Linked DNA regions of Notamacropus eugenii. Each later gene encodes a partner of the first gene's protein in a complex. Links are inferred from orthologs where the notes say so. Each region holds a gene or a part of one and is shown on either strand. Other genes may lie near its edges.

The links.
Region 2: STRAP (region 1) and GEMIN2 share a complex: the UniProt entries of both Homo sapiens proteins name them as parts of the SMN-Sm complex. The link is inferred for Notamacropus eugenii from reciprocal best matches to the Homo sapiens genes STRAP and GEMIN2.

The regions. Positions count from the first base shown.
Region 1 is NC_092874.1:190,182,934-190,199,054, forward strand, and holds the start of STRAP (serine-threonine kinase receptor-associated protein), read right to left. Parts: upstream 7,395-16,121; 5' UTR 6,982-7,394; coding exon 6,870-6,981; intron 5,200-6,869; coding exon 5,064-5,199; intron 1-5,063. UniProt on the Homo sapiens protein: The SMN complex catalyzes the assembly of small nuclear ribonucleoproteins (snRNPs), the building blocks of the spliceosome, and thereby plays an important role in the splicing of cellular pre-mRNAs.
Region 2 is NC_092872.1:331,894,491-331,909,478, forward strand, and holds the start of GEMIN2 (gem-associated protein 2), read left to right. Parts: upstream 1-7,184; 5' UTR 7,185-13,301; coding exon 13,302-13,525; exon of another isoform or gene 13,526-13,568; intron 13,569-13,940; coding exon 13,941-14,025; intron 14,026-14,988. UniProt on the Homo sapiens protein: The SMN complex catalyzes the assembly of small nuclear ribonucleoproteins (snRNPs), the building blocks of the spliceosome, and thereby plays an important role in the splicing of cellular pre-mRNAs.

The DNA.
Region 1 (16,121 bases):
AAAAAACCTACAAAAATTTTTATAGCAGCTCTTTTTGGGGTGGCAAAGAACTGGAAATTGAGAGGATGCCCATCAGCTGAGGAATGGCTAAACAAGATGTGGTACATGAATGTAATGGAATACTACTATGCTATAAGAAATGATGATCAGGATGGTTTCTGAAAAACCTAGAAAAGACTTACATGAACTGATGCCAAGTGAAGACAGCAGAACCAGGAGAACACTGTACACAATAACAGCCAACACTGTGTGATGATCAACTATGACTGACGTAGCTCTTCTCAATAATACAATGATCCAACACAATTCCAAGACTCAATATAGAAAATGTTATCCATATCCAGAGAAAGAACTGATGGAAGTCTGAATGCAGATCAAAGCATACTATTTTCAATATGGTACGGTTTTTTGGTGTTTTTTTTTCTTTTGTTCTGTTTCTTCTTTCACAACATGACTAATGTGGCAATGTTTTACATGACTGTACGTGTATAACCTACATCAGATTGCTTGCCCTCCTGGGAAGGGGAGAGGGGAACATTTGGAACTTATAAGAAAGTTGTTCTTTAAGAATGTTTTATCTTTAAACAAACCAACTTGAGCTGGTGACTAAGTCTAAGCATGTGTCTGTCTGTCCCCTTAGCTTTTCACTCACTGCAAACTACTTCACATACTTGTCACTCCATTTAACAATCCAACTGCAAAAGTTACAAATAAAACAAGTGGCATACGTTGTAGTCATTTTATATGTTCAAGGAGAGTATCGTTAGCCTTTGACATCCATCATCTTTTCATTGATACTCTCTTCTCTCTAGATTTTCAATTACTACTCTCTCCTGGTTCTCCTTTGACCTGACGGACCAGCCCTCAATCTCCTTTGCTGATGCTTTGTCCAGGTCATGCCTGCATCAGGATAGGTCTTTCCATGCCTGGAAAGAGATCAGTGTAGATCTCTTTACTATTTCACTTAGGGATTTCATCAGTTTCCATGAATTTGACTATCACATATGTACTTATCTTGCCAGATATCTTATATATACTTACCTCACCAGACTAGCCTCCCCAACCACCTATTTATTACACATCTTGAACACGATGTTCTATAGACATCTTAAATTCAACATGTCCAACACTAAATTCATTATCTTTTTCCCTAAAGCTTCCCCTCTTCCTAATTTCCTTATAACTGTTGAGCAGACAATACTCCCAGTTGCCCTGGCTTACGACTTAAGTGTCATCCTCAATTCCTAGCTCTCCTACCCCTCCCCCACATCCAATCTGTTGCCAAGTCTTGTCAATTTTATCTTCATGTATCTCTCCTATATGGCACTGCTTTTTCTCTGCTATGACTCTCATCACCTCATACCTGAACTATTATTATAAAAGTTTAGGGTTGGTGGCCCAGCCTCAAGTCTCTCCCATTCCAGTCCATCCTCTAGTTAGCTGTCAGACTGATCTTCCTTACTAAAGCACAAGTGTGACTATGTCTTAAACACACACACACACACAGACACACACACAGACACACACACACAGACACACACACACACACAGACACAGACACACACAGACACACAGACACACACACACACACACACACACACAGACACACACACACACCCATTCAACACTCTGGGAGAACAGACTGTCTTTTACCATTCATTTTAATCCCAGCACTTAGCACAATGCCTGGCACATAGTGAGTGCTCAGAAATCATTACATGACAACCAGATTTAGCTAACATTTGGCACAACTCAATATACATTTTAAATTGTCCTGAAAAACTGGTTTGTCAAATAAGCTTTCTCAACAACAACAAAAGCCAAAAACTATTCTTTAAAATACTCAAGCATCAACTGCTTTTTGTGATGAACATAGTAAAGATAAAAGAACCTTGAAAAGTTCCCATATTGGCAAAGCAATCTGATTCCTCAACAGTTAAGTGAGCTTGCATTTATCCCCTCCTCTCCCCCATCAATATCCACACCCAACTCTAGGAAAATCAGTCTAACTTTGAAAATTACATAAACTTAGAGGCACAACAGATTATATTAAAACCACTCTCCTTGCCCTGTTTCACACAGACTTCCTGAAATAAGACACATCTAGCTTCTAGACTTGGCTCAAATGTCTCACAGGTACTAAAACTGTAGGGTAACAAGATGACAAGTAACTCAATAAATGTGCACCAAATGCTACAAGTATAAAGAAATTTTTCTTACAATCCAAATTCAGCTTAATTTCCATGTCAAACTGGTTTTCATGACAACATACACAGGTTTCAAAAACTGAGAGAAGCTCTCATGGATTTGGTCAACGATAGGTCCCAAGTCAAACTCCACTTGGATCATTGTTCTGGCCCAGAACTGACTCCAAGTGAATGTAAATAGGAATTGTTTCTGTTTTGGTCAGAAACCCTGAGGGTCTTTTCCTCACAATTTGATTTTTTGGCCTCAATTCTTTTTTTTTTTTTTTTTTTTTACTTTTAGTCACTGATGGGCTTTGTCTCGGTCAAATTGAGACCTGCTAAAAACCTTAGCTTTAAAAGGCCAAGGTTTACCACATCTGCAGCCATCTCCAGTTGGCCTGACCTGTGTCTGGCCACTGCACCCAGATGCCACTGGAGGAGAAAGTGAGGCTGGTGACTTTGCACAGCCCTCCCTCACTTAAATCCAATTCCCGTACACATGGCACCACCTCCCTGATGTCAAGGTCCTCTTGACATCCAGAGGAGGAAGAGGAGAAGGACAAATAACATGTTTCAAAACATACATATTTATCCTCTTATTTTAGATGAACCAGAAACACAACATAATCATTTAACCAAATAAATTGAGAGTCATATACTGACTCTCAAAGCAGAAACTTATAGGATAATAATCCAACACTGATTGGCATTTGTAATACTTTTTGTGAATATTTGCCCCCATATTCTCCATTCATACCTTCACTCCCATACTGACACTGTCATCTCTCATAGTACACCTCTCAAGAGCTGATAATATAAAGTTAAATTTATGCACCTAAATCCTTCTGTGGATTTTACAGCTGAATTGGGCTTTCTTCACGACCAGAACAAAATTTTTCTCTCTACATCATCTGAACTTGACTGACAGCAGACAAGGACATCACAGTGTGCAGATATAGGTTAATTAATATAATCTAGCCAAAAAAGGAGGTATACACAGCTTCAGACAAGTTGTTCTCATACTTTTGTCCAGTGAGCCTCACCAGACAGTAACAAATAACCACAATATGCCAAGGTATACACTTCTGTTTCTGCAATTAGCAAATTTACTGACAATTTGTTTAAAAGACAATACCTTATTGATCATACATATTTAGGTTGCTGAAAAACAATTCTTTACCAAATGAGCTCTTCTACCAAAGATGGATGTAAAATAAATTCTTTTCCTATTTCCTTTATAAAACCAAAGCTCGACTGCCACAGAGATAGAAGAAATCAATAAGGATCAAGGGGAGGAGCATACACAATAAAACAATCAGGGGAGAATAGTAACAGTGAAGCTAATAGAACATTAAAGCTCAAGAGGGATTAACAGTATCAAATAATAGAAAGGGAGCAAATGTAAGTAATGTGGGGGTCACATTTACAGAGTTGTGAACCTCAAATGCCTACGTATAACACTATGTCAATTATTACCAAAAAATTAAGGATTTCAAATTACATAAATTTGAACCATTTGAGTGTGTATGTGTATAAATGTGTGTATATGTATATGTATGTGTGTGTTGTTTAGAGGCACATACATGTTAGAGGCAGATTATCCTGGAGGACTTTTGTTTCAAATCCTGTCCCTGACAACAGCTATGTTACCATAGCACAAGCTACCTCTCAGTCTCAAGTAATTTTTTCTATGACATTTCAGTTAGAGACAAATTGTATATACTCCAACAGCAAAATCAGATTCTAGACATATTAGGGTATGTATGTTTGTGTTTATATGTACACACTTAAAATTCCTAGTAAAAAGACTGAACTTTATGAGTTAAAAATTATGTTGAATTAGATAATGGCAACATCTCTCAGCCTATCTTTTTCAAAACAAAGGTTAGCAACATCTTACACCTGTGGTTGGTACTCACATTTTCTCTACCCTCAGTCTCTCATTGCCATCTCATTACCTCACCCAGACTACTGTGAGAGCCTCTTAATTGGTCTCTCTGCCCTTTCCAATTTATCTTTCTCACAGCTAAGTTGATTCAGTTGTCTGATCAAGTCACTGCCCTACTGAGAAATCTTACCTGTTGTTTTTAGGATAAAATATAAACTCCCCAAGCTGGAATTTAAAGCCCTACAGAATCTGGCTTCTTCCACCTTTCCAGATTCATTTACTACTACAGTCCTTCTTACACCCTCTATTCTGATCATACTAATTAATAATACCCACACATGCTATTCCATTTCTCCCTTCTGAAACTTTGCACTCCTCTGACATCTGAAACTCACTCCTTCATTTGTATTAACTCTTTCTGCTAAACAAAGCTCAGGTTCTACAATCTTCCACAAGTCCTTTTCTGATACCTGGCTCCCCCCACCTCCACATCACAACTTATGAACACTTTTTACCTCTAAAAATTCCTTCCAGTTTACTTATGTACATGTTTTAACATTGCAATAGAACAAAAAGCTCCTTGAAGGTAGGGACTTTGATTTTTTGTCTTTCTATAGAGTAAGCACTTAAATGTTTCTGGCACTGAGTTATAATTATCTGTGTACATAATTTACTTACTTAGTAAAATTTAAGCTAATTATAGGCAGGGACCTTTCTATTTTTGTCTTTAACACATTGTTATATCGTTGACATTTAAGTGAGTAGTCTTGCTACTCTAAAACAGTAAAAAGTCAGATCCAATCACTTTCCTTACAAATAAAATTTTTTGAACCAATGAATTCTACAACTGTATATCAGTACTTTGAACATAAAAGGACCCAATGATTTTTGCTGAATGATTAAAAAGTATGGCTTGTTAATGTTTTGGATATTTCATAACATATTTCACAAGTATACAGTTAAAAGGGAGAAAACATGCCTTTACTTACGCTGTAAAATCTGCAGCTGCTGTAGCTGCTTTTGTAGCATCTTTATTCAATGTGGCACCCCATACAGCACCCTTATGACCCAAAAATGTTCCAATCCAGTCTCCTGTATCTCCTTGGCGTAGCATAGGCTTACCATCTAAACAAATTTTTAAAAAGTGATTAATAAGTGTTTCAGTAATCAGTGTTATATTCCTAAAAATTTGGGAGTTAAAAGTTCTCAATAATTACACTGACATAATGAACTGCCAGAGAAGAAACAATTGCTCTATAATTTAATTTTAGAGCTGTGTGAGGAACTGAGAAGTTAGGTGTCTCTGGGCAAGTCACTTCAGCATCTCAGGCAACTTTCTGGGACAAAGAAGCCACCAAATCTCCACCAGTAAACAAGTTCTTCACCTGGGAGCCCTCTATCTGGAAGAGGTCTCATAAGGAAAAAAAATGTAACTGTGGAAATAATTTGCCAATCTCACAATTAAATAAAAGAGCTAGGTAAAGTCATGTGAGAAGTCCAGCAAATCTTCAAAACTACTCTCAAAGCAAAAGCTTGTAAAAAAAAAAAAAAAGAAATTACAAGATTTTTATCATGAAACAGACATAAATGGTATGATTAACTTAACTATTAATTTGTTACATCCAATTCAAATGTAAAACCTAAGGCAATAAATGAAAAGTATAAGACAGCAAAAAACCAAAAATCACAATGTATTTGCATTTATATATGGACCTACTGAGTATTTTAAAACATAAATGATTACAGAAAGAATTATCAACCATAATTGGATAACAGCTGAAAATGTATTTTAAAGTTGAAAAAAATATTCAACATAAAATTGGTAATTATACTTCAAAACAGAATTTCCAAAAGCTTTCATGCTATATATTTTAAATTGAGGCAACTCTTCATATGTTCTCCTCCAATACCTCCTACCGATGTGGGGATAATCTTTCACATTCCAAGATTATGACAACAGTAAAAGCATGGACTTGTCTACTCTAGATCTAACCTGGCCTTTAATAGCCCATTAGCACACTTAAGAAATCAGGTTGGCCACCCCAGGTGGTAAATTTCTTGAGAAGCATGGAAGGGCTCACTATTGCCAGTTGGGATGAAAGGAGTCCTCCCCTATGATAAAATTATGGCCATTCTGAAATGTTAAATATTTGATCCTAAGTTTTAATACATCTTTTAGTATGAAAATTCACTAAGTGGACTCCTCGATTCTACGTCCTGGACTCCACAAATCATGTATGCGATATTTCCTTAATAGTTTGTGAATACACTACAATACAAAAAAAAAAGTGGGGGGAGGCCTTTGACTTTTGAGGATCTAAAGCTTAGCCTATGACTAATAGACATGTTGTAATCTTTAAGTGGGGCAAAATCATAAAAGATAAAAAAAAATAAAAAACCCAAATTGTAAACTTGTTCCAAGTAACTTGGCGAGAAAGTTGAGGTAGTTTGCCTAGCCGATTCTTAGCCATGTGCCCACAGCAAACGAGGCTCCTCCAGGCTTCCTCTGTTCCCCACCGAGCGGGACAGCCCCCACTCCCTAGGGCCTCCCTGGCAGGGCCCCACACCAGCACCCCTCCCCCAAGCCTCGGAATCTATTTCCAGCCTTTCCAGGCCGGGGCATCTGGACTGGCGGCAACTGGGCCCGCCTCCCAAAATGGGGCCACGGCCAAACCCGGGGTCCCCCGGAAGCGGGCAAGGGCACGGGGAGGCCTCTGGAGCCGGCGCACGGCCTGTCTCCTTCCTTTCCGCCTCCAGGCCAAGGAGCGCCAACCCGAGCCCGGGACCTCGCTCACCTTTGCAGGCGCTGATCAGGAAATAGCCGTAGGGAGTGATGCCACTGAAGGCCAGATCCACCACAGGCCGCGTGTGCCCCGAGCAGGTCAGCGGGGTCTGCCTCATCGCCATGGCGGCGGCGGCCGGGTCGGGGGGGACGGCTCCTCCTCAGCGGACGGCTGCAGGGAGGCGCCGTGGGGTCGCTGATGTCCTCCGAAGGCTGCTCCCGAGGGGCGGCGAAGGCTCCGGCCGCTCCGGGAAGGGCCTGGTTCCGACACAGGGGCTGGGGCGGAGGGGGAGGGCAGGAAGCTGGACGGCGGCGCTGAGATCTGGAGCGGCCTCCGGTGGGTGGTTGGGGGGGGGGGGTCAGCGCGGGGTGGGCTCTAGCCGCCGAGGAAGGGAGAGGAAAAGGAGGAGGAAGAGGAGGAAGGGAGGGAGGGAGGGAGGGAAAGAAGGAGAGGGGAGCGCCGAGCCGGGCGCCGCCAGCACCGTCCACTCCGGCGCTGGCAGGAAGTGACGACGGTAGATGACGTGAGGGCGTCGCTGGAAATGACGACGTAGAAAGGGCGTGGCTTCGGCCCCGCTGCTGGCGCCGCTCACTTTAGGCCCCGCCTCTGGCCCCACCCCCCGGGCCCTCCCTTTCTCTACCTTCCGGAGAGAAGGAGTGGGTGAAGGCACTAGCAGGTGGGGCGGTTTGTCTCGAGCGCTCGGGAAAGGCGTCTCCTGCCCCGCCCGTTTGGGGTCCAGGCCACCCTGGGGCCGTATCGTCTTCAACCGATTGGATCTCGACTTGAGCAGTTTTAGGGACGCACGTGTCCCCCAGAATAGCAGTCGCCCTGCTTCCGGTCCCCTCCCGGTCCGACTCCTACCTGAGTCCGTGTATTTTGTTGTATTTTCAGTATACACAATAGCGCCCCAGCTACAGTAACCGTGGGTGGAATCGCATTGTTAACCTTCTTCCCGAGGTTCTAGATCTAGAACTGGAAAGCCCTTGACGTTCCCAGGAGCCCAGGCTTAGAGACGGGCGGCTGCGGGCACGGACCGAAGGAGGGCGGATCGGAGATTCCAAGTCATCCCCTCCTTCTCCACCTGCTGCGCTGCCCGCTCATGGGCAAAAAACAACTAGTTTAAGTTTTAAAATGTATTAGGCTTTTCTTGGGTGCCAGGCACTGCGTGGAGAACCCCAAGGACAGAAACAGAACAGCCCCCGCCTTCCAGGAGCTTGACTTGGCTGAGCTGGCTTGTTCTACTTCATGTTAAAGAGGAGGAAACTGAGTAGCAGGGATTGAAGTGACCCGTTGGGTCTTGTCCGATTCGTGACCCCAGTCGGGTTCTCTTGGCGAAGATTGGGGTTTGGGGATTTTCTTCCGCTCATGTGGTAGGTGAGGAGTTGAGACCAACAGGGTTGTGACTTGCCCAGAGTCGCATGCCCACTAAGAGTCTGGGGCCAGATTGTCTGCCTGATGGCAGGGCTGCTGCTCAACCTGCCCCAGCATCAAGCTGTACTTCATGAATGGCGCATAAGGTTCTCTGATAAATAGATGAATCAAAAAAAAGTATTGATAAAGCGATTGGTATGTGATAAACAGCAAAAGTGCTGGAAATACAAGTAGAATGACGCACACCATCCCTATGCTCAGGAAGCTTAGATTCTTTCTAATGGTGGAAAAAACACACATAAGGGAGTAGCAAGAAAAAGGAGTTATAGTCTAGGGAGTCACAGAAAATATTTGTATTATGTTATCATCCCATTTGATGAGTTTTACATCTTCGATTCCAACCCGGAGCAGCTTTTATCATGGAGTGCTGACATAGACTTAAAAATTTTTTTTCAGTTTCAAATTCTTTCCTTCTCTCCACCTGTTCCTCATCCATTGAGAAATCAAGAAATTAATACCTATTATACATATGAAGTCACGCAAAACATTTCCACATAAACCGGAAAGCAAATAGTATACTTCAAATCTGCAATCAGAATTCATCAGTTCTCTCTCTGGAGGTGAAAAGGTGATTTTTCATCAGAAGTCCTTTAGAATTGTCTAGGATCATTCTGTTGTTGATCAGACTAGCTAAGTCTTTCACAGCTGACTACGTTATAAGGTTGCTGCTACTATGTACAGTATTTTCCTAGTTCTACTCACTTCACTTTGCATCAATTCATATGTCTTCCTAGGTTTTTCTGAAGCTCATCATTTCTTACAGCACAATAGCATTCCATCACAACCATATGCCATAGCCTTTTCAGCCATTTGCCAAATGATGGGCAGCACAAAAAGAGCTGATATAAATGGATCCTTGAAATGGAGTTTTGATACAATTTCATCACCACACTCCCTGATTATCAGGATTGTTCATCCTTTCTCCCAGAGGCTGTGTCTCTGATAAATCAGCAGAATCCTAAGGAGAAAGAGGGATCTCTACTCTAATATTTTCTCAGATCTAGGCTTCAGCTGATCAAGACAGACTACTTTTGTATATAGTGCCAGTTGACCCCCTCCAGTCCATTCTTACTCCATCTTTTGTGTGGGTCAGCTGGACCTTAAGATTTGTGACATCTCAGAAGATTCTCTGCAACCTGAAGAAATGGTTCAGGTCTCCCTTAACTGATAGATTTCCTTTTCCCTGAGATGTTTTGGACTATGTCTTCTTAGAAAGGGTTTGAGGGACCAAATGTGGAGTATTTTTTTCTTTTCTAATTTGAGAAAAAACTCTCTTCATCGTCACAGTGAGCTTAGAGGTGTTCCTAGATTCTAGGCTTATTTTCCCAATTCATATGTAATAGACGTGGGTAGATCTAATATAAAACAATTAGTCCACATATGATATAGACAGATATCAGAGGTGAGATCTGGAAAGCCCTATTCCATGTCTGCAAATGGAGATTATGATTTCCACCTCTGGCTTGGAGGCAGTCTGGAACTGCATTGCCAAAAGCCCTGTGAACCACAGGGAGAATCTAGTCAAGGTATGACCAGGCAATCACTCTTGCTCTTCTATCCCCAATAGGTATTTGAGGCTACAATTATATCTGTTGTTGTTCAGTCATGTCCAATTGTTCAGGACCCCATTTAGGATTTTTTGTCAAATATACTGGAGTTGTTTGCCATTTCATTTTCCAGCTCATTTTGCAGATAAGGAAACCGAGGCAAGCAGGGTTAGATGACTTGCCCAGGGTCACACAAGTAGTAAGTGTCTGAGGCTGGATTTGACCACAGGAAGAATCATCTTTCTGATTCCAGGCTCAACACTGTATTCACTGTGCCCACAATTGTATCAGCACACCTCAAATATTTGTAGTCTAAGGGTCAGTGTTCTCTCTTTTAAACATTCAAAACAAAAGGCACTTTTCCCCTTGTCCCTCTTAAGGGTAGGATAAAACTTAACTCACCCTCATCAGCTAAGCTCCCTCCCACCAAATAATAGTTATAGAAAATACAAATACAGATAGCTATTAGACCTCTATCAAAGTAATCAGTAAATGGAAATCAGCTCATTTAGATTAAAGTAGTAGAGTAGAATAAATGAGCTCTTCTGAACTGAAATACGAACTCATTTCAACTAAGGGAAGAGAAAAATGAGGAGTGAGGGCTAGGAGGGGGTATTCCACTCAGCATTCTCTAGGGCTGGTGCTAGAAATCAAAAGACCTGTTGAAGTCTGGCTTTACCGCCAGTCGGTATCTTTATTTAGATCTCCTGTCTACTATTCAAAAATTTACATTCTTTCTGGATCTCCCTTTCCATTTCTCTCAGGAATCTCTTAAAAGAAATCCCTTCTCCGCTTTATGCTCAGCAAATGAGTCATGGCTTTCTGCTGCTAGCCCCTACACACACACACACACATACACACACACACACACACATCCATACAGTCTTACAAGACTGCCCCTAAGAAAATTACCCAAAACTTGGAGCAAAAGTGGGGTTACAGAGGAAAAGTGACCCTTTGACTCATTTGGAGGTGATTTTAAGTCCCTGGATGACAGTGGAAGGGAATTTTTCCAATTTTCATAAAGGAAGGTGGTATCCCATTATTAGAAGCACCATCTAATACCATGTATTATATGTAATTTTATCTGTTCTGGGCTAGCTCAGACTCAGGCCATTGTAATGGCTAGCAAAGTAGAATTCTTGGCAGTTTTTCTAGATTGAGTTTGCCAATCAAGTGCCTTCGACTGAGTCTTACCTTTCATTGAATCAATTAAGAATCTTTGATTGGAAACAATATACATTGTATTGCTTGGAGAGACAAGCAGAGCTAAGAGAAGCAGAGAGAGAAACAGAGCTGAGAGAAAGAAACGACCATGAGTGGGCTAGGGGAATGGGGACACCTAACAGAAAGAATGTTTGTGATGTTGGTGCTCTGTCTGTTGGTCTGTGTTAATTCCTGAGGCAGAAGCCCTGTCTGTTAATCTGTGTTGATTTCTCAGACAGAATCCCTGTCTATTGGTCTTTATGAGTGAATTGAGATGAGGACATTGGTAATGTGTTATAAATATTGTTATAGCCCTCTTAAGCTTTGTTTTCTTAGTAACAAAAGCTATGGGCAGGAGCCCCTGGAGCCTGTCATTAGGCAAAAGCAGGAAGAGTTTGGAGTAGAACAGTCACCATGAGCTGAGCCAAGGAACAGGAGTTGAGAGCTGCCTGTATGTGAACCCAGGCAAAAACTGAGAATGGTTGGCCCACAGAGGAGGAGCCATGGTGTTTGGAAGTCAGCCTCAGGTCAAGATGAGAAAGGACTTTACTTGGACACTATGTATTAAATTAAGGAGATTGTTCTTACAGTGACCTAGGGGTGGATGGTGGGGTATTGTCTGATCCCCTTAAGGATGCATTGTGCTAGGGAAGACCCTAGTCTGTGACCCTCCACTTTGGGGATGTAGTGATTTATGCTATGCGTCATATGACATACTGAATGTTATGAGATACATGTATGTATTAGATGATATGTTTTGTTTAAGGATGTTGATATGAATGTTATATTTTATTGAATAATGTGTAGTTTATTGCTGAACAGAGAGTTTTTATACTATATGCTTAGATCCTTAAGATCATTCACAGCAGCATTCCTCAGGTGTGCTGCCATGATTGGCTTTACAGAAGCTGCTCATTTATTTTTATAATGGAAGAGAATGAAAATTTAGATCAACCGGCAGTTAACAAAAGGAGATTTGCTTAGCCATGGTAGAAGGATATACAATAAGGACTACATTGAGAACCCCTTGAGTTGATTCACCTGAGCAAAGCTTCCTTGCCTGAATTGTCCATTAAAAGTTTTCCATGGACCAAGAATTGCAGAGCACCTGAAGCTAGTTTTTCATAGCTGTTTTATATTTAGGCAGCCAGGAAGTGATATCAGCAATTTCATCCTTTAGTCTTCTGAGCCAACCAAGGCTAAAGGTTAGTCTCAATACCTTTAAGAAAATATTAGCTTAACTTTCATGAGGGCAGGATTAGGATGTGCCTTCTACCATGCCATTATCCCAGTGGGGCTCCTAGGGAGGGGAAGTTTTGGCTGGTGGGCCTGGGAACACTGAATGGGTAGCAGGCAGGTACCTGGTACCAACTTGGGCCTCAGAACAGGTGGCATGCAAGTGACCAATAACTACTTAGCTATTTTAATTCAGATAATCCATATCTCTCAGCTTCAGAGGTTTCTCATTTGTTTCGTGGCCCTGGATGTTCTTGTGCTGCTCCTATCTAACAAGACTGTTTTATCCCAGAAAAGTTTCTATGAATTTCCTCTGATTTTACTTCCTTGATGTTCTAAAGATTTTTTACATTGTTTTATGTTTTTATAATATTTTATATATTGGGCTTCTCTTCCATTGCTGCTTATATTAAGGTTGTTTTAATATTATTTTTGTGGTGAAAGGTCCCATAGAAAATTTTAGGGAACTTGATACTAAGGGGTAGGAAGTGGTAGGAGAAAAATCTTTTCTATGTAGCCCAGTCCTGCAAGGGCAGAGAGGTCATTTTGCTTTCTTGCTGCCTAATTATATAGAAGGTCCAGCACAAGAGAATTAGTGTTAGAAATTTCAGCTTGCCTCCTGTTGCTTTCTGGAGAATGTTTTCCTACCTGTGCCAATTCTTCAGGAGGATCTCAGTATTGTTTTAACATTATATCCTTTTATGTATGTATAGAATGTATATCAGATTTCATACTGTCTTGGGGAAGGAGGGGGAAGTAAGGGGAGAAAATTTCAACCTTATGGAAGTGAATGTTGAAAACTAAAAATAAATAAAAAAAGAATTTAGTCAAAAAATTATATCCTTTAAAATCGCTTCTTTTATTCTCTTATTTAGTAAAGTGGTGTTCAATATAGTTTTTATGCTTCTTATTACACCTTGAAGCCTTGAATATGCTTTAGGCTTGACCTACACTAACAATTTAGGTTGGAAGGGAAGTTACTAGTGGTTGGGGGATCAGGAAAGACTTTACATAGAAGGTGGTACTTGAGCTGTGACTTGAAGAAAGAGAGGGATTTCGTGAGGGGAGGGTCATATTGAATCATGTAATCTCAAAGTTGAAAGAGAGGAACCTCAGAGGTCACAGGTTCCTAGATATTGGTCTACAAAGGGGCCTTAGAGGTTATCTAAGTACAACTACATTTTGCAGATGAGAAGATCAACAAGGTTAAATGACTTGCTCAAGGCCAGATAGATAGATAGCAGGAAAGACAAGATTTGAACCCAGGTCCTCTAACTCCAAATGCAGAACTTTTTTTACTACACTACTGACACTCATGAATGCTTTACCATCATGGCTCAAGATCAGTTACTACAGTTGATTAATGGATAGGAAATATATCTGTAATGTCTTTAACTAATAATCTTGACCATCCAAGCTTGGCTTAAAAACTTCTAGTATTGCATAATTCGCCTTAAGTCAGCCTATTCCACATTGGAGTAGCTCTCGTTGATAGAAAATATGCACTTAAATCCAGCCAAACTCTAGTCTCTACAACTTCCACCTATTGCTCCAATATCTGCCGTTTGTGATGAACTGGCCTAGTCCTTCTTCCATAAAAGAGCCCTTTTTATGGAAGACTCATACAAAAACAGCTAGCATGTTTCCCTTAAATCTTGTCTTCCCCAAATTGCATAATACTTTATATTTATCACAGCTCATTTTTTAAGATTCTCATTAGTCTTGCCTCTCAAGATCTTTTTGGAACATAATTCTATCATCTAATGTGTTGACTCTTCCTTCTACCTTTGTGCCATCTGCAAAGTCAATAAGCATACTACCTGAGTCCTTGACAAATATTTCATTGTGTAACAAACTTGGAGGGTAATAAAAATTATTTTATTGTTATGCTTTTTAATACAACGAGTTTATCACCAAAAATCATGTTCCTGACCATAGGTAAAATAGAACTGGTATTTGTTGTATTAACCTGATGACCATCCTATTGGAGCTACAGAAACAAAATGCTAGAAATAAGTATATATGAACTACCAAGCTAGCATTATTTGCTGAAAGATACACAAGATCTAAATAGGAATTTCCAGCCCTGTGATCCAGTCCTTGCTCACTTTTAAGTGGCAGAGGCTGTCCTTGGGCTTTAGCTTCTTTCACTTTCAGGAATGCTCTGAGCGCCACTAATACTGAATGTGTATAACAACATGGAGGTGCTGTTCTAGGTCAAGTCTACCTATTTCCCTTTACTGTACCCTTTATAGGCTTTCTGAAGCAAGAAGTGTTCATCAGGACAGTGTTGGACAGTTCTCATCTCTCGCTGTATTGCGTGATGAGTATTAACTCTATATTAGGCCTATGCCTGGCATATTCAGTTATCCCTAGGCTAATGAGGGAAAGTAGGCTTCAGTTCTACTTTGCTCTGGGCAGCTGGACAGGGACATAAATCAACACACTCCTCTCTTGCTAATTAATAGGATGGGAGCTATGTCTAATAAATAGAAGCAATGTGTTTCATATCATCCATCATCCCATATAGGCTCATCAACTACTTCCAAGTCAGGAATGGGTTCCTCTCAATCTGTCCTCTGCTTCATTAGGTGATTTATTCCTCCTGAGACTTGTAGGGTATCTATAAGGGAAAGGAACAAGATAATAGCTGGAGAAAGGGGCACATGCTTTATCCTACAAGCAGCTGGGGTTAGGAGCTAAGGGAGACTGTATTCTTAAGGAATGCAAGCATAGGCACAAGAGCTAAGCTTAAGACCCACAGTGCCTACTTCATAACTGGGTAAATAGGGTCAGTACAGATCTGGGGCCTTTCAAGCCAAGTCAAAGACCAAAAATAAAACTACTGCCTTTTTTACTGAACCACAGAATTTTAGAGTTGGAAGGGATGTGTCAGAGGCCATGTAGCCCAACTCATACACAAAAAGATTCCCTAATGTAATGTAATTGAGAAGTGGCCATCCAAGCTCTGTTTAGAGGCTTCTAAGAAGGGGAAATCCATTTCCTCTTGAGATAATAATTCCACTTTTGGATAGCCCTAATTGTTAGGAAATCTTTCCTGACAGCAATCCTATATTTACCTGTTTGCAACTTCTGCTCACTTATTTCCCCTTGTTCTTACTTCTAGGGCTAAGGAGAGCAAGTCTGATCCCTCTTTCAGATGACATTCCTTAAGATACTTGTGGATGGCTATGATATCACCCCAAGTCTTCTCTAGCTAAAAATCCTTTCTTCCTTGATCAGATTCTCATGTGATGGATCTATGCAACTTCTCTGATGTAGAGTTAAAATGTAAAAGGAGTATTTACATGCAAGAAAAAAGGAGGGAAAGTAATATTTATACCATCACTTACCCCCAACACCACTATTTCCCTTCCAAATCCTTTTTCCTCCTGAGCCTTAGTTGCATTGTTTGATTTTGATGGGTGGTTGGGGAAATTGAATTTCTCGGGATGTCTCATGAATGAAACAATAAAAGACATTTGCTACTTGATAGCTGAATAAGAGATTTGGGGGGGCGGAACCAAGATAGCGGAGTAGAAAGACGCACATACACATAGCTCCGAACCCACAACCCACAGAACGGCTAGAGGGGACCAACTCACGGTGAATTCTGCACCCAGAGGCCACGGAATATTGGAGCGAGGGAGATTTCTGTTCTGGAGAGACCTGCAAACCTCTCGCGGGGGTCCTTCGCGCTGCGGACTGGGCGCCGGGACTGGGAGCTGAGTGCAGCCCTGCAGCGGCCGCGACACCGAGAGGAAAAGATCCGAGCAGGCTACGGGACGGGATCTCCAGTGGCCATGCGGGTCCCTCCACCCACAGAGGGACCTGCAAACCTCTC
Region 2 (14,988 bases), on another chromosome or scaffold:
GAAAATTTATCTAGTAATGGTATCATTTCTAAGATATAATTGATTTAAATTTATCTAAAACTAAGAGCCACTGCCTAAATGATTAATAGTCAAAGGTTACGAACACATAGAATACAAGCCATCAACGACCATGTGAAAATGTTCCAGATCACAATTAGGGAATTATTATAACTGCAAATTAAAACAATTCTAAGGAGCCACCTTAGTCATCAGATTAGTAAAGGTGACAAAAAAGGAAAACTACATATGTCCGGGAAACTACATATGCAGGGGAAACAGGAATTCACATTAACATACCATTGGAGGAGCTATGAATTTGTATAGTCATTCTAAAAAGAAAGTTCGAACTATGTCCAAAAAGTCAATACAGTGTAGATAACCTTTGATCCAATGATACAACTACTATCCAAAAGACATCAAAAAAGCGGGAATTTTCTCATATTTCTCATATGTATACAAATATTTGTATCAGCTTTTTTTGTAGTGGCAAAGAACAGGAAACTGGGAGAGTATCCATTAAATGACAGAGGATTGATCCAGTTATATGGGTGTATTTGGATTATTTTGTCACCCTCATTCTAATGAGTAAATTTTTGATTATTCCTAGTTTTACTTTCTCGTTTACCAAATGTTTCATGTTTAAGAGTCAATGACTGATTTTGTATAAATGACAAACACAATGGTAGATGCTCAGTTATAGAGGCACACAGTAGGAGTATCATGGAAACATGTACGCATATACATATCCCTAGGATACTGACAAAGTTTGAGTAGGTAAGGCACTGCCACCCACTCTAGGGACACCACCTGCCAGAGAGAGAGAGAGACAGAGAGAGACAGACAGAGAGACAGAGAGAGAGAGAGAGAGAATGAGAGAGAGAGGTGGGCATATCTATGTATACACACACACACACACACACACACACACATATAAAACACTATTGTGCTTTAAGAAATGATGAGCAAGATAGTTTCAGAAAAACCTGGGAAGACATAGGAAGTGGTACAAAGTCAAGTTATCAGAACCAGGAGAATAATTTATACAGTAATAACATCCTAAAGGACAAACAACTTTGAAAGACTCAGATCAACACAATGGAATCAACCAGAGCTACAGAGGACTCATGAAGAAACTACTAGATAACTACTACTCTACTTCTAGATAAAGAGATGATATTCTCAGAGTACAAACTGAAGTGTATTTTTTTTTGACATGGCTAACGTGGGAATGTACTTTGCTTAACTATATCTATTTGTAACAAGCTTTGTTTTTCTTGCTTTCTTAATGAGTGAGAAAGAAATTTTGGAATGAATAATAAAATGAATAATAACTAATAATTTTATACATAATATTGTATATATTTATCTTTAGTATCAATAATTTACATTATTATAATTTGTATATATACTTATATTTTTATAAAATAACAACCAATAATATGGAACTAATAATAAACTTAATTATTAATTAATTAATAAACTTTAATAAAATTAAAAATGAATTTTAAAAAATTTAAAATAAAATATTCTAGTACAGTCCTCTCAATTTATAGCTAAGGAAACTGAGGCTTTGAAATAATAAGTGCCTTGTCCATAGTCCAATCATGTTCTGACTCAAAGTCCAGGGCACTTTCTACTATAGCAAATGATACATTCCAAGGCCATTTTAGAATTTTTCCTCATGTTCCTCTTTCAAATCTAATTAGACTAGGCTACTAGACATTTATTAATAATACTGATGATATTGTAAAGGACATGAAGCCTTGAGATGCATTCACAGATTGTAAAGGCTGTGTCCCTTTCAGACTTTGGCCAGTGTAAAATTTTTAAGAAGCATAAAAAATGTTACTTAAGCAACCCAAGAGAGTGCTGACCCTTGAATGAAGCCCAAGAACATAGGAGACATCTGGTGATTAGCTAAGAGAGTCAGTCACAGTTGTTGGACCATTATAAAAAATAAAGTTGGACCGCTCTGAAGAAAAACAAGAGCTCAGAAAAGCTAGCAATAGAGATGAGAGATAGCTCTGAGGAAAGAATTCAACTGTTGAGATATTGCATTTAACTTTTGCCTTGCACCTCCTCCAGAGTGCAGAGAAAGGGGAGAGAATTTCTTCCTCTCTCTCCATCACTGGCAATGGTATCTTGCAGCTGAGCAACTTGCCTAGTAGGAATTTCCATGCCCAGCAGAAGACAGAGAGTCCAGCTGTGGAGTCAAGTTGGTCTGTGGAAAAGAGCAGACCAGGGAGTCCAGCAGAATGGCCTGTCCACCAGAGATAGTCTATGCAGGATGACAGCGTAAAATGAGAAGGTAATAAGGAGGACCCTGAAGTGCCTGGAGTGGGAGTTGTCTTGGCTACATGTGTTGCTGCTTATGTATATTCCTTTCTGCTTATGAACTCTGTCCACTTTTCTAAGTAAATCTGCCTATATTTGTGGGAGAGTTTGATCCAGGTCTATGGAATAAATATTTTGTTACTACTTTCATGCTGTGCCATTTCAGCAAATGTCTTTAGCTTTGAGCTAATTACGTCAACTGAATAGCCATGAATAGGAGGGCCCATGAAGAATAGTTTTAGAAGTTCAGACCTACAAGGTTCTGTGATTTAGGGATAGTCACCTCCAGAAGCCCTAATCCAAAAGTAAGCTTGTGGTAAGGGAATGGGGTAGCACAAAGTGAGTATTACACTCATAATACTATTTCCATTGGCAAAGGATCTATGATGTCATCAACCTGAGAACTCTCCCAATGCACAAATTGCAACTTCTTGATACTTTGGTGGTTTCAGAAGTTGCTGTAGCCACGAAATGCATCATTTTTTGGTGTTGAGACTTTCTAATCTTTCTAATATTAGGTTGTTCTTCAGATTCAGAAAGCCCCCACCCTCCAGGAAAGATTGTACTTAGGGTGAAACTGTCCTCTTTCCCTTCATTATTCTCCATTCTCCCCACAGACTGCACATCAGCCTATCAACTGCATTTCCCTCATGCAGTTCCAGCTAGCATAGTTCTGGCTAGTTAGAAGGATAGGTTTTCATTTAGCATCCATAGACAACAGCCATCAATCAATGGTAGTACTGGAATCAGTGAGAGACAAACAGCAATGATCTCCAATAACTGTTCAACCAGTCAGCCATACTCAACGTCCCCAAAAGCCTTACTCTTGGTAGCCATTTGTCGTCATTGCCTTGCAAGACACATTTCACCAAAGGTCTGGGTACTCATACAAGCATACAATAAAATTCTTTCATTAGCCTTAAGGTCATTTACAATAGCCCATAAAAGCAAACCATCATCAGTTGTCTTTCTGAATTTTGTAAAATGAATTTATCACCCCTCTGTAATACACTACTGATATAATATATTTATGTCTTCTCTCAATATTAGAATCAAAATCATGTCAAATTTTCAGAATTGCTAATTCATTTAAATAAATTGTTACTTACCTTTTTGAAAAATAATTCATTATTATGGTTTGGGAACACAAGCGCTCTATTCTGACCATTTTTTTCTTTTTCCTGTGAACCATATGTTTTCCCACATATTGCATGAATTCCATTGTTAGTTCAATAGCCATTGTATATTGCAGTTAGTCTTGTAAATAGATATTCCTCTTTACTTTTTCCTAGTTTCCAGTGAGAGAAAAAAAAGGAAAAAATATGCTAATATATTATTCAGTGCTAAAAAAAAAATGCACTTACAAAATGTCAAGAAAAAAATATCACGACCGAATCTTGCACTGCTTGACTGTCAAAAAGTTTAAGACTTTGTCTCCTTTATTTCTTCTTTTTCAGATTTATGCTGACAAATTATCCATGGAAATTCTGCTAGGTTTCTTGTAGTTAGGCAGGGTCTCTCTACAGTGCTCAACTGCCTAGTTAACAGCTCATAAGTACTATTTCATCATCTCTCAGTGAAAGGGCTAATGATTACATCCTGGTTCTAGAGACAAGTTTTTGCCAGCTAAATCCATTGTAAAACAAACAAAAGCCTTGCAAAACAAAGGCCAATATTTGTTCAGGAAGTCTCAAAGTTATAGTACTTCTGTAACACCCTTTCTCTGCTAATTCTCCCAATTCACACTAGACAGCAGTTTAGGTTCCCCAGAAGGCAATGAATTTACTCCCCTCAGGATTCTAGGAGTGACCTTGAGGGGCTAGGATTTGTAATACTGTCGCCCATGAGCCCCCATCCACTGTGCCCCCCAGTATCTACCAATCAATTGGTATCAATTCCTCTATAATGGGAAGATATAGCAAAGACAGAAGTTACAAAGCAATTCCCCAATTCCAAAGCAAACTCTCCTCTCTGCATAGTCCTTGAAGAGAATGTGCTCAAGTTTAGATCACAAAGGTGTGAAGCACACAGGTAGGGAACAAGTGGGATCCAGAGGTACCTTACAAGTACAGTTATCCCTTCCACATCATTGGCATTAGGGGAACAGTGCCACTCCCCCAGATCTGGAAAATAAGTGTAAAAGTTTTTGGCCCTCTCATTGTAAAAGAGAAGAAGTCTGAATTATTATGGTATTAAAAAATAAAATATGTTGATACACAATACTATACATATATTTTATGCATCTCTGAGTTTCTAAACTTTTTCTGTGTTGTCTGCCAGCCTTCACGTGTCATCTGTGGCTTCCACAAAATTCCCCAATATTTCCCATTTAATTTCTTATGCCAACCTGTTATATATCTAAACCAAGCTGGAGAAAGCCATAATGTGGAAGTACTGGTGTGAGCAATCCTTTTCTCCTCTCTGAGTCCCCAACAGGTTTGCTTCTGGGCATTGTATCATTGATAGATGAGTCAGTCCCTTGCTCATTTAGGCTGATTCCTTGCCAGCATGGTTTGCCGACTGACATGTCAGTCCATTGCTGGATTGGGCCAAACAGCTGCTATGCTTGATTCTTACCAGACTTGGCCACCACTGCTGACGAAGTGATATGGCTCTGGTTGCTGGCAAGAACTCTTTGATGGCTCTCTGAACACAGTGATTGCCTGGAGATTCACTTCTAAGAATACTAGTAAGTAATAATAAAAACAAAGTAGGAAAGAGAAAGGTTTGTATTCAAGGACATGTGGTGGCTGGGCAGAAAGACAGGGTGGCATCTACTGCTACTGCCTCTCCCACCCCCACTCCCCCAATGGCTCACAGCAATTCTTGAATCAGTCCCCTAATCACTAGGCTCCACAACTTGAATGGAAATAGAACCAACAAGGAAGAGTAAATTCAAGCATGCCTTAAGGATTGGGCCCTCATTGGCCAGTCTTCCCACAAAAACTTCCATTGGATTACAAAATATTCAAGAACTGAGTCCCTTAGGCTATTACAGATTTTTAAAACTCTTGCAAACTCAACTTTTACTGAGTTCTGAAAAACAAAATTCGAAAAAAATTAGACAAAAAAATTAGAAAATTTCTTATGCAAAGTAGATACTGTTAGTATGATACAAACAGCATAAATGGTGGTGGGAAGCTGAGAAGTATCTTAAGTCTGTCCCCATGTGTCTGTATACGGTTATGCTGTGCCTCTCTCCCTGTGTTCAATAGTGATCCTTACACTTTCACCATGACTGGTAACAAATGCGGTCAGTCTTAAGGGGGAAAAGTGAACCATTTCATAAGCGCAAGCAAATAGATTTGGAAAGGAAAATGAAAATAATTATAAAATATGGAGGCCAAAATTGTCATCAATAGTATGTAAACTTAGTCTTGCAGTGTCAACTATAAACACCATAGTGAAAGATGATGCCCAAATAAAGCACTGCAAAAGGCAAAGGGTTGCATGAAGTTGACTTATCTATCAAAACAAAGAGAAGATGCTATTCTAGAGATAGAGAAACTATTCACTATGTGCATAGAAGACCAGAATCAGAATATTCCTTTGAGTCTGGTGAAATTCAAGCCAAGGCTCAAAACCTCTTTGAAGATTTAAAAGTAAAGTACCATAAAAGAACACAGGCATTTATAGCAAGCAGATGGTTTGTATGATTTAAAAATCTTGCATGACTTCATAATGTACAAGTGTCAGGAGAGACTGCTAGTGCAAATATTGAAGCAGCAAAGAAGTTTCCAGATTTCCTGCAAAAAATAATAGATGATGATCCCTACTTGCTCAAGCAAATCTTTAATGTAGACCTGGCCGGCACAACCCCACAAGCCTGCCAAACGATTCTGGGTGCCTGTGAAATGTAGCCTCTACATTTTTTGCAGGCCACCCACAATCCTTTGGCAGGCCATAGGTTGTGCAGGCCTAGTATAGATGAAACTGGCCTATTGTATCAAATATCTCAAATCTACATCTTGGTGGAGGGAAAAAACTATATTGGAGCATAAAACTTCAAAAAACAGAGTTACTCTTCTGCTTGGAGGGCACATATCTGGGACTTGCAAATTAAAACCTGCTCTTGTACATACATCTCTTGGAAAATCCCAGATCATTGAAAGGAATCAGCACAGCCACACTACCTGTGCGTTATTTTGCTAACCCTATGGCATGGATAACCTTTATCATCTTTGAATGAGGATTTATGCGCTGCTTCACTCCCGAAGTGGAGAAGTTTTATAATAATAATGGCATTCTTTTCAACATTCTACTTATTTTGGATAATGTCCCAGGTCATCCTCCCTATCTAGATGATTTTAATGAAAATGTTAAATGGTCTGCCTTCCCCCTAACACTACCTATTTCAAGTTATGGATCAGGGAGTGATTGTAAATTTCAAGGCATACTGTTTACACATTCATTTGCCCAGGCAACTGAAGCTTTGAATGCAGATAAGCACTTCATATTGAGAGATTTCTGGAAGTCCTATAATATTTACCATGCAACCTGAAATACTGCTAAGGAATGATAAGATATAACAGAAACATGTATGAAGAGTTTTTTTAAAAAGTATGACTAATTTATTCCTGATTTTCATGAATTTGACAAAGATGAAACACTGTAATAAGTGAGTAACAATATTGTAAAATTAGCACAAGAATTGGAGCTAGAAGCAGATGAGAAACATGTGGAGGAGTTGATTGAATCTTATAGGGAAGAAATATTGAATGTAGATTTGATTGAGCTGCTAGCTGCAAAGAATGCAGAAGAGGAAGGGGAAGCTTCAGAACTAAGGTAAAACCAAAAAGATTCACAATGAAACAGCTTGCTGAAGTATTTCATAATTTGAGTGAATTTTTTTTCTTGCTTTGCAAAGATGGAGCCAAATACTTTGAGATTTTTAAGTTCAAAGACTAGTTGAAGATAATATTGCTTATAACCGTCAAACATACAAGGAAAAGAAAAGAGCCACTGACTAAACATCTCTCAATAATTTTATTTTTAAAAAGTTGTACAGCCAACTGGAAGGGGCAACATACTGTATACCTATATTAATTTTACTGTATAGTGCTGTACACACTTTATCATTAACTTTTCCTGTCATTTCATTGCTCTTCATTATCATGGCACTGTATTTATTATGTCTACATTTTAGTATATTTTATGACTTGCATAAAGGTATTACTTTGTAGGAGGTATCTAGACCTCAGTGGACAGAATACTAGACTTGGAGTCAGGTATATCTGAATTACTAGCTGTGTGACCCTAAGCAAGTCACTTAACCTCTGTTTGCCTTGGAGGCAGCTAAGTGGCTCAATGGATAGAGCACTGGGCCTGGAGTCAGGAAGACCTGAAGTCATAGGCTGTCTCAGAAACTCACTAGCTAAGTGAACCTAGGTGAATCACTTAACCTCTGTCTGCCTTCATCCACTCAAGAAGGAAATGGCAAACCATTCCAGTATCTTTGCCAAGAAAAACCCATATGTAGTCATGACAAATCAGATATGATTAAACAGCAACAAATTATTTTGTATATGCCTCTGCTATATAGGCTGGGGAGGGGGGGAATTCGCATTACATAAAAATCACTTTACACAGAGGTCCACGGAATGATCTATTTCTGTAAAGTGAGAACTGTCTGTATTTAGAATTTTTAAAAAACTAGGGAACCCTGAATTCTACATTAAGGAAACAGCCATTTCCTGGTAACAGCCTAGCTTATAGAGATGAAGATGTAAGAAATGTACCGAATAGTCACATTAAGTTTCTTACCAAGAGTTCTCAATTATGTATAAAGGAGAAGTAAATCTCAAATTCACTAGTTTGCCAAGAATACCCTGCTTTTCCACCTCCTGCTGAGTGACAGCAAATCAAAACTAAGGCTCCAGGGAAGAAGCACTGGAAAAACCTCTGTCAGTTCTAGGGAAAAGGTCCATGTTCTTTCTGAAAGACCAAGACAGTACTAAACAAGGACTATCTAGAGCTGAGTCTAGAGACAGAGAAAGGGATTCTGAGAAAAGACTCATGATAATAGGAAGATGGGATTTTAGCCAGGACTTGAAGGAAGCCAGGGAAATCAGAAGGCAGAAATGAGGAGGGAGGGAATTCTAGGCATGAGGGACAGCAAGTGAAAATGCATCAAGCTGGGAGCTGTAGTGTCTCTTGAAAGTAACACCATGGAGGTCCATCTCATGGTATCATAGAATGTGTGGAGGGGAGTGAGATATAAGAAGCCTGGAAAAGTAAGAAGGGGCCAGGTTCTAAAAGGCTTTAAAAATCAAACGTATTTTTGATACTGGAGTTAACAGGGAGCCACTGTAGCTTATTGGATGATGACATGGTTAGACAATTTGACAGAGGAGCAGAAGAGAGACTGGAATGAACAGAGACAAGAAGACTATTCTGAGTGTGAAATGATAAGGACCTGCCCAGGGTATTGGCAGTGTCACAGAAGTGGGCCTATACAAAAGATAGTGCAAAGGTAAAATCAACAAGGCTTGGCAACTGAAGGGATGTGGGGGAAAGGGGGGGAGACAGTGAGGAATTAAGCATATTATGTTAGGTCACATGATTTCCTACAATATCAGTTTTGAACTATCCTTTTCATTTACTCATATTATTTCAGAACTAAAATCTATTTTGCAAAAAAAAAAAAAAAAAAGGATGTGTGAATGTAAGCTTGAATCCCAGAACCCAATGGTATGGGACTCTCTCCTCATTGTGGAGATCAATACCCTGAGAATACATGAGGGGACAGTTGTAGACAGGGGAGAAAAAAGAGATCTTCAGTCTCTTCCTACTTGTAGCTTCCAGTGTAGAGAGAGAAGCCACGTGAGGAACTCTCCTAGGGACCATGAAAGAAGAAAGACTCTGGCAAGAAGGTGACATATAGAACTTTGATCCAATGGGAGAGTTCCTTCAGTCTGTGTTATTGAAGTATCTTTTCTCATATGTATACCTTCTCTGGTTTATATTTTCTATCAGCTCAAAAGGTGGGTTTTTATTTTTGTTTGTTTTTGTTTTGTATATTCCTTATGGAACTGGTATTTGCTGGGAAAAGGGTCAAGTCTTGGATATTAAACTTGGGGTCCTTCTTTCACCATTAATGAATAGCAATTAGGAATTTAGCTTGAACCTAAAAATTCCATTTCCTAGGCTAATAATATTTAATATAAGTCTAGCCTGGTATTCCCTCACTCTAAGAACATCAGAGCAGTCAGGCTCTGTTCCTCTAACCTCCTGCTTCCCCCCCTGGCAAGAAATGAAATCTCCCTTGGAGAAGGGCCTTTGGAGATGTATCTATTCTATCTTCCCTGTGAACCAAATCAAGTCAGCCTCATTACATAAATCTTTCTGAAAGAATTCACTTGAATAAAAATATTTTGTTTGGGAGCACACAGAATTTTTAACAAGTCTTTTCACTAACTAAGGTAGTTAGGATCACCACATTTGTACCTTAACAGCATTGTCCTGATATATGTTGACAGAGGAAGAGGAAATAGCATAGAAGAATGCAAAGGTGGGAAAAAAAATCCATACAACATGAAGGAAAGTAAAACATAACTTTATTAAAGCTGTTCTTGCCCTTCAGCATGTGAATTACTTCAAATAATAGGCTATGAAATTATCAAGGAACCCAGGAAACCCTCAAGTACTCTAAAAAAAAAAACCACGTTGCTTTTTCAGCAGTACTAAAGTCACCATGCATGTATGTCATTTCAATACTCAACAGATTTGTGGTTACAATGGTGTAGGTATACTTTCTTCACCACTGAAACCCTCTTACAAGTTAATATTCTATCTTCAAAAATTGCTATGGCCCACAAATTCATCACTACTCACCAACCTAGTAATTGCCATAAATTTAGCTTGGCTGGACTTCAAACAAGAAATACAGTCTGTCAGGTGAGTCTTTTCAGTTTAGTAGGACCCACCTGAACATGTATTACACTGAAATAATTAATAATAACTATCAAAATAGTATAAATTATAATATAACACCTACTATGTGTCAGGCTTAGTGTTGAATGCTTTACAAATATTATCTCATTTGATATTCACACAATAACCCTGTGAGGTAAATGTTATTATCATCCCTGATTTCAGTTGAGGAAACTGAGACAGAGTGGTTGAGTGACTTGCCTAATGTCACATAGCTAGTGAACATCTGAGGCTAGATTTGAATTCAAGTCTCCCAGACTCCAGGTACTATAATAATACCTAATTTATATAGTTCTTACTATGTGCCAGACACTTTATAATGACTGTCTCACTTGATCCTCACAACAACCCTGGGAGGTAGGTGCTATTATTATCCCCATTTTACAGATGAGGAAACTGAGGCAAACAAACTCTTGTCAGAGTCACACAGCTATTGTATCTGAAGTAAGATTAGAACTCAGATCTTCTAACTCTAGGCTTGGTACTGTATCCCAGTTCTATCTAGCTGCCCCAGAAAAGCTTTTAAGACCTGGGCCTTTCTACATACATCTCCATACAACAATAAAGCACCAGGCTAGGATGTTACTATACCATTTCCCCACATAAAATAAGCATAATAGTTCTTTCTCTTCCCCCTTTTAAGTTTCAGTCTTAACTTCAATTCCAGCACCCTTGTCTTCCATGAGAATTCCCAGAAATGCCCATGTACTAAGACTACAGTTCTAGACCTGGAGGAACTTTCTAGTCTAATCCCCTCATTTTACATGTGGCCCACTGTATGTATTGTTAATATATTTTTGCTTAATTTGAAGATCTTTCCCATCCATTAATAAGTCCATGTGACTTGTTTATATCACATAGAAGCCTAATCACATGTGGTAGGAGGAGCTTGCTGAACAGGTGGGACAGGAAGGCTAGAGCAGAACTGGGTGGAAGTGGGTAGGAGAGGTTAGGTTTGAGAGAGGACACAGCCAAGTAGACCACTAGGATTGTAAGTGTTTGCTTGTGGGAAGGCTTGGGAATGGAATTGTCCCCTGCAGGGATAATGTGTATCAACTTCTTGGTTACTACGATGGATTTGGCTTTCTGGTGTTTGAATAAATGTTTTTCTTCTGCTTTCTATATGGAGAGTCTATTATATTTTGCAATTTAGATCTACACCAGCATATCCATAGTTGCCATCTGTGCCTTGGCGATACACTGCCAATAATAATACATTTCCTGTGTCAGAAATGCATCAGTAGTTTTATGTGCAATGTATCACATAGAGCACCATGGTCATCCCTAATCTGGGAGCTCTGGGCTTATACATATCTGGATTCATTGGGGGAAGGAGTTGGGGTGGAAGGGCATATTTTTGCTCTTTCTTCCTCTATACCTGCAGCTCAGAATAATCCCAGAAAAATATTTAAAACAAATTTTAGTACTGTTCATGTCTAGGTTCTCTCTAGAAAAGGTACTCAATGTACAATAGAGATACCAAGTATAAGATGGTATTTATTTCTTCCATCACAGAAAATGCTTAAGATACAAAGGACTCAAAGGTACACATGAAAAAATACAAAATATGTAATCCATTCAATTAGTCCATTATATGCATTATTCTCCCCCAGAAAGAAAAACAATTTTGCTTTGAAGCAGATATTATACTTTCACCTCAGACTTGTATGGTTCAAGCAACTCACAAGTTTTAGGTACAATGGCCAGCCAGGACATGACTTCAATTTGCACTAGCCCTTCACGGAAGAATGGTGCTGGCAATACCCATTTTCTATTAATTGAAGCTCTCCTCTGATCAGCTGATACCTGAATCTCAAACTCAGGGACTCCATCCAAGGGGTAGCTTGAAACATAGGCCGGAAACCTCCATTTCTCAGGATTGCAAGTTGCTAATTCATGCTTGGGGAGGAAAAATAGCAAAGCAAAAAAAAAAAAAAATTCACTGAAGCAAAACAGTGGAAAGAGCACTGGTTCTGGAGTTAGAAAATCTGGGTTCAAATCCTGACCTTGTACAAGTCAAGTATTTAACTTCCCTCAGCTTCAGTTTCCTTTATTTGTCAAATGAAGGGGTTACAATAAAAGGCTTCTGAGGTCTACTCTACAACTATGATCCTTTTAACTTTGGCTCAGCTAATTCAATACATGTTTTTATGGCCATATCCTTGTAACTACCACTGCAACCTGCGGTGGAGAGAGATCTTCCCTCTCTGTTCCTTATTGCAAATCCAGGGGAGGGAAAGAATCACACCAGAGAAGAGCACAAAAAAGTGAGGCCAACTATTTCCACAGCCTTACAATATAACCAAAGTCTATCCTCTGAACTCTTGAAGTCCAGTTGTTGTTGACAACAACCCCCAAGTTCTCTATAGACAGTATGTCCTTTGAGTCTGACAACAATCTCCTCAGCTTCATGGCAGGTGCTAATAGATCCAATCAGGGGTTCCTATGAGTACCGTGCCAACACACATACACACACTCTTCACATGAGGTAACTGAGGAGGCTCTGGGATCATCACACTCATCGCAAGGTGCCAGGGCACTTCCTCCATCAGCATCTAGACTGAAGTCTAGGCAAGAAGTTTCAGTTCCTCCAGAAACCAACAGGGTGGAGACCAGTAAGGCGAAGCCCTGCAGCACCTCTGCCAAGAAAACCCCAATGGGGTCAGCACGGAATCACTGACGTCATTTGAGTCTGTAACCCCTCTTTCTGGGTGACAGCAGAGTGGCCAAACTCCGGTACCAACGTCCTGCTTCCCCTCCTGGCAGGACTTAGTCTCCCCAGGAGAAAAGCGGGCAGCGGAGACTGGAGATGGCTGCTCCGGCCTCGCCGGGAACACAGCCAACCTCCACCCTGCGTTTTCAGGTCACGATGAGAGGCCCCAAGGATGGTAAAGAACGTAAGCCGCAGGCCTCAGACTCTATCAGAACACAGCGACACGTGAGGTTATCCAGGAACAGGAAACTACGTCAGCCCACTCTTACGGAAGGGGAAAGGGAAAGAAGGGGGAAGGGAGGAAGCTGGCACGAGCTATTCTATGCGCATGCTCTGGGGCCTGCCCGTGGCGCATGTGCAGAGGGGAGCTTGCCCGGCCTGGTCCCACGGCTCACCTCGACCGCACCGCCTGGGTGGAGGCGCTATGGAATCGGCGGTGGAGGAGCTGATGCCCCGCCTCTTACCTGTGGAACCCTGCGACTTGGAGGAAGACTTCGACCCCTCCGTGCCACCTCGGACGCCCCAGGAATACCTGAAAAGGGTCCAGTGAGTGGCTTGGCTCGGAGCGTCCGGCCTCAAACACGTCCCCCTTCCCCCACTCAGGCCTGCGGCGTGGGTGGAGTCGCCCTAGCGCCCCCTCCCCCTCCCTCGCCGACGTGGCCGAGGCGGGGCGCCCGGGGGGCGGAGGGGGGAGAGAAGGGGGGAGCGCCGCGTCCTAACCCGGGGGGCGCCACGTCCCACCTAGGGGGCGCCTCCTTCCCGAGCCCGGAAGCCGCCGCCTGGGGTGGCTGGGGGGCGCGCTCGTCCCGGGGGTGGAGCACCTCGGTTGCTGCGGGGGCTGGGTGCGCTGCTGAGCGAACTTCCCCAAACCTTTCGTGCAACTAGAAATGCAGATGAGGGAACGAATTAATCCTGAAATGAAAAATTTTTTAAGTTCTTTTTTTTTTTAATTGATCCGTAGGCTTGAGGCAGCGCAATGTCCGGATGTTGTGGTGGCACACATTGACCCAAAGAAGTTGAAAAGGAAGCAAACCGTGAATGTTTCAGTGAGTTTTATACAATGTGTTATTATTAAGCGTTTTTTCCGGTTAAGTACTGGAAATTTATCTGCACAGCATAAGCATTAGACCTCTTAAAATAATCAGATCCTAGAGGGTCTTTCAGTATTCAGAAATCACAGTTCATCTTCGAAGTTGAAATCTCTGCCATTCTACTGTATAGGCTTGTGTCACGAGGATTTAGAGCGAAGTCAATCCAGTATGTACACACCCTGTGCCTAGCACTGTGCTAAAGCTCTGGGGATACAGAGAAAGGCAGAAACAGCCCCCGCCCTCCAGGAGCTCATATTTTTTAAGTCCCTGTTCTGCCATGCTTTCTTCAGCTATAATATTGTTCTTTTTTTTTTAAGGGTTCATTCAGCTGTAAAATTTCATTTAGTGGATTAAGTCCTTTGAGGTAGGTAGGCCAGACCTGGAGTCAAGAAGATCTAAATTCAAATCTGTCCTCAGACACTATATGTAACCCTGGGCAAGTTACTTAACCTCTGTCTGCCTCAGTTTCCTTATTTGTAAAATGAGGATAATAGAACCTACCTTATTTTTGTGACATACAGTATCAAAAAACTGTAAATGCTAGCTGTCATTATTCTAGCACCTTTAGTAATTAAACGTAGTTAATTGGATACTATCCATGATAGTATGAATGATATGTGTGTATATATTTACACACACACATACACATACTCATACTCATACAATGTACTTTTCCATTAATGCCAGTATAGTAGCAAAGTAGGTAACTTTTGACTATTTCGGTGGTATTTGCCTTTGGCACCATAACCCTGCTTTTTGTTTGGCTGTAGATCTAGAGATGCAAGAGAACTTGGAGACTTACAGATGAGGAAATTGAGGTTCTCAAGGTCACAGCTAGTGATTGTCAGAACTGGAATTTTAATTCAGATCCTGTAACTCTAAATTTAGTGCCCTTTCCACTGTACCATACTGGAGAGC